Linked DNA regions of Nothobranchius furzeri. The protein of the gene in region 2 purifies or fractionates together with the protein of the main gene of each other region. This does not show direct contact. Links are inferred from orthologs where the notes say so. Each region holds a gene or a part of one and is shown on either strand. Other genes may lie near its edges.

Region 1 (3,654 bases), on a different chromosome or scaffold from region 2:
TGATAGAATAGAATAGAAACATCTTTTATTGTCTTTCAGTGGGGACATTTAGGAGAATGTCTTCAACACCTTAAAATAGAGCTAAACACTGACACCAGCTTCCAGAGATGACCCCAGCTACACCTCTGGAGGGAGATTCTCTGTGTGACTTTTCGTTGTGTGCTTGTGTGTGTGATCAGTGCTGTAGCCAGGATACAGTTCCGGCTCCCAGATGGGTCATCCTTCACCCACCAGTTCTCATCTCAGACCAGGCTGCAGGAGGCCTGGGACTTTGCCGCTGAGGTTTGTGTCATTCCTTGTCCATGTTGTTGTTGTTGTTTTTATCCTCTCACAGGGTGTAACCAGAGCGACGTGGTGACGATGGTTGAGTTGGGTTATTTCAGGAAAAAACTGACCTGAGATCCAGGCTAGTTCAGTAACATTCAGATTTTTCCTTCATGAATAAATGGATCAGATGAGTCACCTGAACTGGAAAAGGAGTAGAATACCCTCTCCGGGTCAGGGATGAGGTCTTGCCTCAAGTGGAGGCGTTTAAGTATCTCAGGGTCTTGTTCACGAGTGAGGGAAAACTGGAGCGTGAGATCGATAGGCGGATTGGTGCTGCGTCTGCAGTGATGCGGGCGTTGTACCGGTTTGTCGTGGTGAAGAGAGAGCTGAGCCAGAAGGCGAAGCTCTCGATTTACCGGTCGATCTACGTTCCCACCCTCACCTATGGTCATGAGCTTTGGGCAGTGACCAAAAGAAGGAGTTTGCAGATACAAGCGGCTGAAATGAATTTCCCCCCAGGGTGGCTGGGCCCTCCCTTAGAGATAGAATGAGAAGCTCGGTCATCTGGGAGGGGCTCGGAGGAGACTCGCTGCTCTTCCACATTGAGAGGAGCCAGTTGAGGTGGCTCTGGCATCTAGTTAGGAGGCCTCCTGGATGCCTCCTGGGTGAGGTTTTCCAGGCACATCCAACCAGGAGAAGACCTAAAGGAGGACCCAGGACACACTGGAGGGATCATGTCTCACGGCTGGCCAGGGAACACCTTAGGATTCTCCAGAGGAGCGGGTCCAAGTGGCTGGGGAGAGGGAAGTCTGGGCCTCCCTGCTTTGGTTACTACCCCCGCGACACAAACCCGGATAAGCGGCTGAAAAGGGATGGATGGATGAACCACCTAATAGGTGTCGCACCTGATCTTGAATCAGTTTGAACATGAACAATTCTTCTAACCAGATCAGACCTACAGAATAGTCCTCCTGTATTTGAACCCTGCACTAAAACTAGGAGCGGTTTTTGGTAAACCCTTGTTCTGAGAGACCCGCCAGTTCTTCTATCTGTTTAATTAACTCTGTAAACTTTGTTTGTTTGTTGTTGTTTTTTTCAGCAAGTGGGAAATCGCTATGGGCACTTCTCTTTAGCGACCATGTTTCCTCGACGAGAGTTCACCAGTGAAGATCTAAGCAGAACCATGCTGGAGCTGGAGCTGAATCCCAGTGCGTCCATTGTGGTCCTGCCAGTAAGTGGTCCAGATTAAAGTTTACCCACTTATAAGCCAATAAAAGAGTTGTCACTATATATTTTACATTCAGCAGTTTTAAAGAACTCTAAACAGATTGTACATCTGTGCTCTTTATGTTTAACTGTCCAGCAGCCAGACCTTCTGTAATCCTGGATCCATGTTTTTCAGGGTTTCTGAAAGTCCGATTAGTGTTTTCTGGGCTTCTCTGCTTACCTCAAGACCCTGATAAGGGGGCAGAAAAGAATGAATGTACATTTGGAACATAGGCTGGAATTTGCTCATGCAACGGTTTCATCATCAAACCATCATTCTCTTTGACAACGTGGCACAGAACCAGGCTGGAGCCAGCAGATTGTTACAGAGACACTCTGGTTCATTAGTTAGATCTCGGTTCCACTGTGGGGTTTGGGACGAGGGTTTTCTGTACCGCTTGTAAAAGCAGTCAGCACAACCGAACTGGGTTGATGGCACTTTCGGGACCACTTCTGTTGTAGGTCCATGACAAAGTGGATCAGTGGAGAACAGAAATACAGTGGGGCAAAAAAGTATTTAGTCAGCCACCGATTGTGCAAGTTCTCCCACTTAAAATGATGACAGAGGTCAGTAATATACATAATAGGTACACTTCAACTGTGAGAGACAGAATGTGAAAAAAAATCCATGAATTCATATGGCAGGATTTTTAAATAATTTATTTGTAAATCAGGGTGGAAAATAAGTATTTGGTCAATAACAAAAATTCAACTCAATACTTTGTAACATAACCTTTGTTGGCAATAACAGAGGTCAAACGATTACTATAGGTCTTTACCAGGTTTGCACACACAGTAGCTGGTATTTTGGCCCATTCCTCCATGCAGATCATCTCGAGAGCAGTGATGTTTTGGGGCTGTCGCCGAGCAACACGGACTTTCAACTCCCTCCACAGATTTTCTATGGGGTTGAGGTCTGGAGACTGGCTAGGCCACTCCAGGACTTTCAAATGCTTCTTACGGAGCCACTCCTTTGTTGCCCGGGCGGTGTGTTTGGGATCATTGTCGTGTTGGAAGACCCAGCCACGTTTCATCTTCAAAGCTCTCACTGATGGAAGGAGGTTTTGGCTCAGAATCTCACGATACATGGCCCCATTCATTCTGTCCTTAACACGGATCAGTCGTCCTGTCCCCTTAGCAGAAAAACAGCCCCAAAGCATGATGTTCCCACCCCCATGCTTCACAGTAGGTATGGTGTTCTTGGGATGCAACTCAGTATTCTTCTTCCTCCAAACACGACAAGTTGAGCTTATACCAAAAAGTTCTACTTTGGTTTCATCTGACCACATGACATTCTCCCAATCCTCTGCTGTATCATCCATGTGCTCTCTGGCAAACTTCAGACGGGCCTGGACATGCACTGGCTTCAGCAGCGGAACACGTCTGGCACTGCAGGATTTGATTCCCTGCCGTTGTAGTGTGTTACTGATGGTGACCTTTGTTACTGTGGTCCCAGCTCTCTGCAGGTCATTCACCAGGTCCCCCCGTGTGGTTCTGGGATTCTTGCTCACCGTTCTCATGATCATTTTGACCCCACGGGATGAGATCTTGCGTGGAGCCCCAGATCGAGGGAGATTATCAGTGGTCTTGTATGTCTTCCATTTTCTGATAATTGCTCCCACAGTTGATTTTTTTCAAACCAAGCTGCTTGCCTATTGTAGATTCACTCTTCCCAGTCTGGTGCAGGTCTACAATTCTTTTCCTGGTGTCCTTCGAAAGCTCTTTGGTCTTGGCCATAGTGGAGTTTGGAGTCTGGCTGTTTGAGGCTGTGGACAGGTGTCTTTTATACAGATAATGAGTTCAAACAGGTGCCATTAATACAGGTAACAAGTGGAGGACAGAGAAGCTTCTTAAAGAAGACGTTACAGGTCTGTGAGAGCAAGAGATTTTCCTTGTTTGAAGTGACCAAATATTTTCTACCCTGATTTACAAATAAATTCTTTAAAAATCCTGCCATGTGAATTCATGGATTTTTTTTCACATTCTGTCTCTCACAGTTGAAGTGTACCTATGATGTAAGTTACTGACCTCTGTCATCATTTTAAGTGGGAGAACTTGCACAATCGGTGGCTGACTAAATACTTTTTTGCCCCACTGTACATCACTACCTGCAACAATCAA
Region 2 (3,654 bases):
AGCATTCTCCATAAGGATAGGCTCAACTAAAAGCTGGCTTGTGTTTATCAGAGTTTTTTGCAGAAAACGTGGGAGACTTTTTCATCTTCCTACGGCGTTTTGCAGACGACGTTTTGGAGACTTCCGCTGAAAGTCTGGAGCAGATTCTTAATTTCATTACTGTCTTTATGGGCAATGTAGAAAGGTACGTGACTTTTTCTGACATGACTTTGGTTGCGGTAATATAAAAAGCAATCCACTTTTCAGATTGTTCCTTGTTTTTTTGCTCAATAGGATGAAGAATCCTCATTTAAGAGCAAAGCTTGCGGAGGTGTTGGAGGCGGTGATGCCTCACATGGAGCCGCAGGCTCTGGGTGCCGCTCAGCCTGTTGTGTACCAGAGGGAAAGGGTCTTCTGCTCCTATAGATATGCTCCTCAGCTGGCCGAGGCCCTCATCACTGTGTTTGTTGACATTGAATTTACAGGTGAAGCGAGTTCTTAGAACGTTCAACTTGCTAGTTTTAAATGACCTTTTTAAAACTTACTAAGTTCGCATAGTAGACATCGACTGAATTTAAAAGCCATGTTGTGTTTTTGTCTTCTCTTTTACTACCTCCTTTTTTACCTTAAATATTTTTATTTGTACTATTTTGCTATTAGCACCGGGACACGGAGAAACGCCATGTCAATTCTGTGTGTGTTTCTCATATGTCAGTCTTGACCACGAAGAAAAATTACCGTAAATCCTCTAATACAGGCCGGTATTCAATTAAAGGCTGGGTCTCCAATTTTGGCCGGTGTCGGAGTCGGCGGAGGTGAATAATGGCCGGTCTCTTATTGTGGCCGGGTGGAATGTGGTAACAAGCAAGTACGGGAGCGGTTGTGTCATCGTCTCACTTTTGATTTGCCAGTGATAGACCGCGAGTGTAACTTTAACCGTGCGGAGACGAAGAGGAGGCGAAAATTTGATATCAAGTTCAAAGAGAACGTGCGCTGCAGAACACTGGGGAGCAATAGGGGTTGTATGAACTAGTCAACTTCACTATAGTGACTTTTTATGCCTGTCGTCGACTAGTCGCTGTCACGTGATAATGACCGGCAAGATGCAGCCCTCGGAAAAGACAGCAGCCTGCTGTCAGCAGGTGACAAGCTCCTGCGCTCGGGGGGGCAACGCGCTCTGCCAGAGCGTCAGCACTGACACGCGATCGTTCATGTCGGTTCATTTCCTTTAATGTTTTCTGTCTTTTATTTGCGCCTGATGTGTTTCGCTGCTGTGGAGCGGGGCACATCACCTTGTCCTCCGACGCACTGATCACTGATGCGGCCGGCAAGCAGCGAGCACTCCACTGTTTTTGCGGTTGGTATATCTTTTAGAACTGCAGTTCAAAGGTAACTCGTGAGGTGAATATATATGAACCCAGGTAGCAGTTTTTCTTAAGGATTGAGAGGAGATGCAGGAAGATAATAAACAGGCAGGACAGAAAAATAGTCAAATAAAAACAAGTTAGTTTTTGTACCTGCTGGTTGCAACAAACAGACACCATTGAAGGTAATCAGAAGTGAGGAACAGAAAATGAAATAATTATTTTAATGTTTAGAGCAGCAGGAACTCCGAGAGGCTGCAGGCGCATCAGTGAGTTTGCGGCCGCTGCGCAGGGGGAGGGGGGAGAGGGCTGAAGCAGAAACTACCATTGTTAAAAGAATTGTGTTTAACTTTGAAAATGTGGGCGCAATTTTAATTGTCAAAAACTCCAGCGAAACATTCGTTCATTTTGCTCAAATAGAAATAGAGGCCTGCGTCTAATACTGGCCCTCCTTCCAATAAAGGCCTGGAGCTTGATGAGCTTGAGTCAAATACAGACCCGGGCCTGTATTAGAGGATTTACGGTAATTAAATAAAGTTACCGTTTTAGCGGAACAAGATATAAGAAATGTAGTATTGGATATTAGGCCCGCCCAAAGGACCCAGGAAGCAACCATACCCCCGGTTGAATGTTCTATCATGCACCTTGAGGTAAAGGGAGACCCCTGCTGTTGTAAGCGAGTGAGATAGCTTCCACAATCCAATGAGAGAACCTCTTTCTGGACAGAGCCTTACCTCTAGCTGGATTGGTAAAACACAGCTGGTCACACACCCTGAGTTTGGTCTGAGCAGCTTTTCTTGGTGGCAGTGTCTTCTGAACAGTCATCCTTTTTGTTTTACTCTATGGGGTAAAATGTTGCACTAACGACGCTAACGGTGAAATAAAAGCAAATAGTTGCTCTGAAAATGTCTCAAGCTACTTTTTCAATTATCAACAACTCAGTATTACAGTGAAATGTATTTATCTACTCAACTTACCGTGTATAACTCATCTCTTCTGGCGCTGATCCGTAACTGGCAACAGCCACGAAACCAACGAACCTGCTTGTTTTGAAGCTTGGGCTGCAGTACTCGGATTTGACCACAGGATGTCATTCCTACTTCATGCACCTTGAAGCTGATTTTGTAAAGTGAAAGCTCTTCTAGCTTGGTTGCACATAGTTAGAAAATTGGGTGTTCTCAGTGAGGTGAAGAGTGTAAGAGCTGAATAATGACTGTGATGGTAAGCGTGTTTACAGTACATGCAGCCAGGGCCCGCCGCTTTTCACCACGCATCATGTGCCTAAGGGCGTGGTTAAAGATGTCTTGAGTCAGGCCATGCGGAGGTGTGACGTCTCATACCATAAGTGTTGTACCGAGTGAGTGGACTAAAAGGGAACTCTTTATAAAGAACAGCTGAACAATGTAAACAAGCAGATGCTAACAGTTTACTCACCTCTTATCTGTCTGTTCTCCAGGTGATCCTCATCAATTTGAACAGAAATTCAACTACAGGAGACCCATGTATCCAATTCTCAAGTACATGTGGAGCAAGGACATTTACAGGGAGAGCATCAAGGTAAAGTTTTTCACTGTTTATCTGAACTCGCGGTCTTCTCACCTGCATGCAGTGGTATGACAGTTGTGGTTTTAACAGGAAGCTGAAATGTTTGGAGTTTGGAGAGTTCCTTGTTGTGCTCCAGTTGAACTGATTAGATCATTCTCATTCAAAAGTTGTAATTACCAACTAAAAGCATTCTGTTAAGTTCAAACTTGTTTTTTATTCTGTTTGATATTTTTTCATTCAGCGTTTGGCCAACTATGCATCTGAAAACCTGGAGGCCATGAACCCCCCTCTGTTCCTCAAGTTCCTCAACTTACTGATGAACGATGCCATCTTTCTGCTGGATGAAGCGATTCAGGTGAGTTTCCTTGCATATATGTCGATGATCTGAACTTATTTGGTCATTTTTCAGTGCTTTGAAGTCCTCCCAAAATGATGTCGTCAGTGATGAAATTTAGATTTGGTCATGGGTTTTTGTGTTGAGCCACATCTCATACATTTACTTTTGTGTGTAGTACTTGAGTAAAATCAAGATCCTGCAGCTGGAGCGGGATCGAGGTGAGTGGGAAGGCCTAGCCCCTGATGCTCGAAGAGAAAAGGAGTCGAGCCTGCAGATGTTTGGACAGCTGGGACGCTTCCACAACATCATGTCCAACGAGACCATCGGGACACTAGCCTTCCTCACCTCAGGTCAGGCTCAATAGGCTGTTACAGATACAATTGTTTTGTTGTTTGTTTATGTATTTTTTATGTTTATTCAAGCAGCTTT

The links. The genes of interacting proteins can lie anywhere in the genome.
Region 1: the proteins of ube4a (region 2) and ubxn4 purify together in Homo sapiens (affinity purification with mass spectrometry; 3 studies listed by BioGRID and IntAct, counting the BioPlex papers as one, with this or other methods). This does not show direct contact. The link is inferred for Nothobranchius furzeri from reciprocal best matches to the Homo sapiens genes UBE4A and UBXN4.

What each region holds. Positions count from the first base shown.
Region 1 is NC_091746.1:33,709,860-33,713,513, forward strand, and holds part of ubxn4 (UBX domain-containing protein 4), read left to right. Parts: intron 1-179; coding exon 180-282; intron 283-1,366; coding exon 1,367-1,498; intron 1,499-3,654. UniProt on the Homo sapiens protein: Involved in endoplasmic reticulum-associated protein degradation (ERAD). Acts as a platform to recruit both UBQLN1 and VCP to the ER during ERAD.
Region 2 is NC_091753.1:38,236,551-38,240,204, forward strand, and holds part of ube4a (ubiquitin conjugation factor E4 A), read left to right. Parts: intron 1-51; coding exon 52-184; intron 185-273; coding exon 274-464; intron 465-2,799; coding exon 2,800-2,900; intron 2,901-3,129; coding exon 3,130-3,243; intron 3,244-3,400; coding exon 3,401-3,575; intron 3,576-3,654.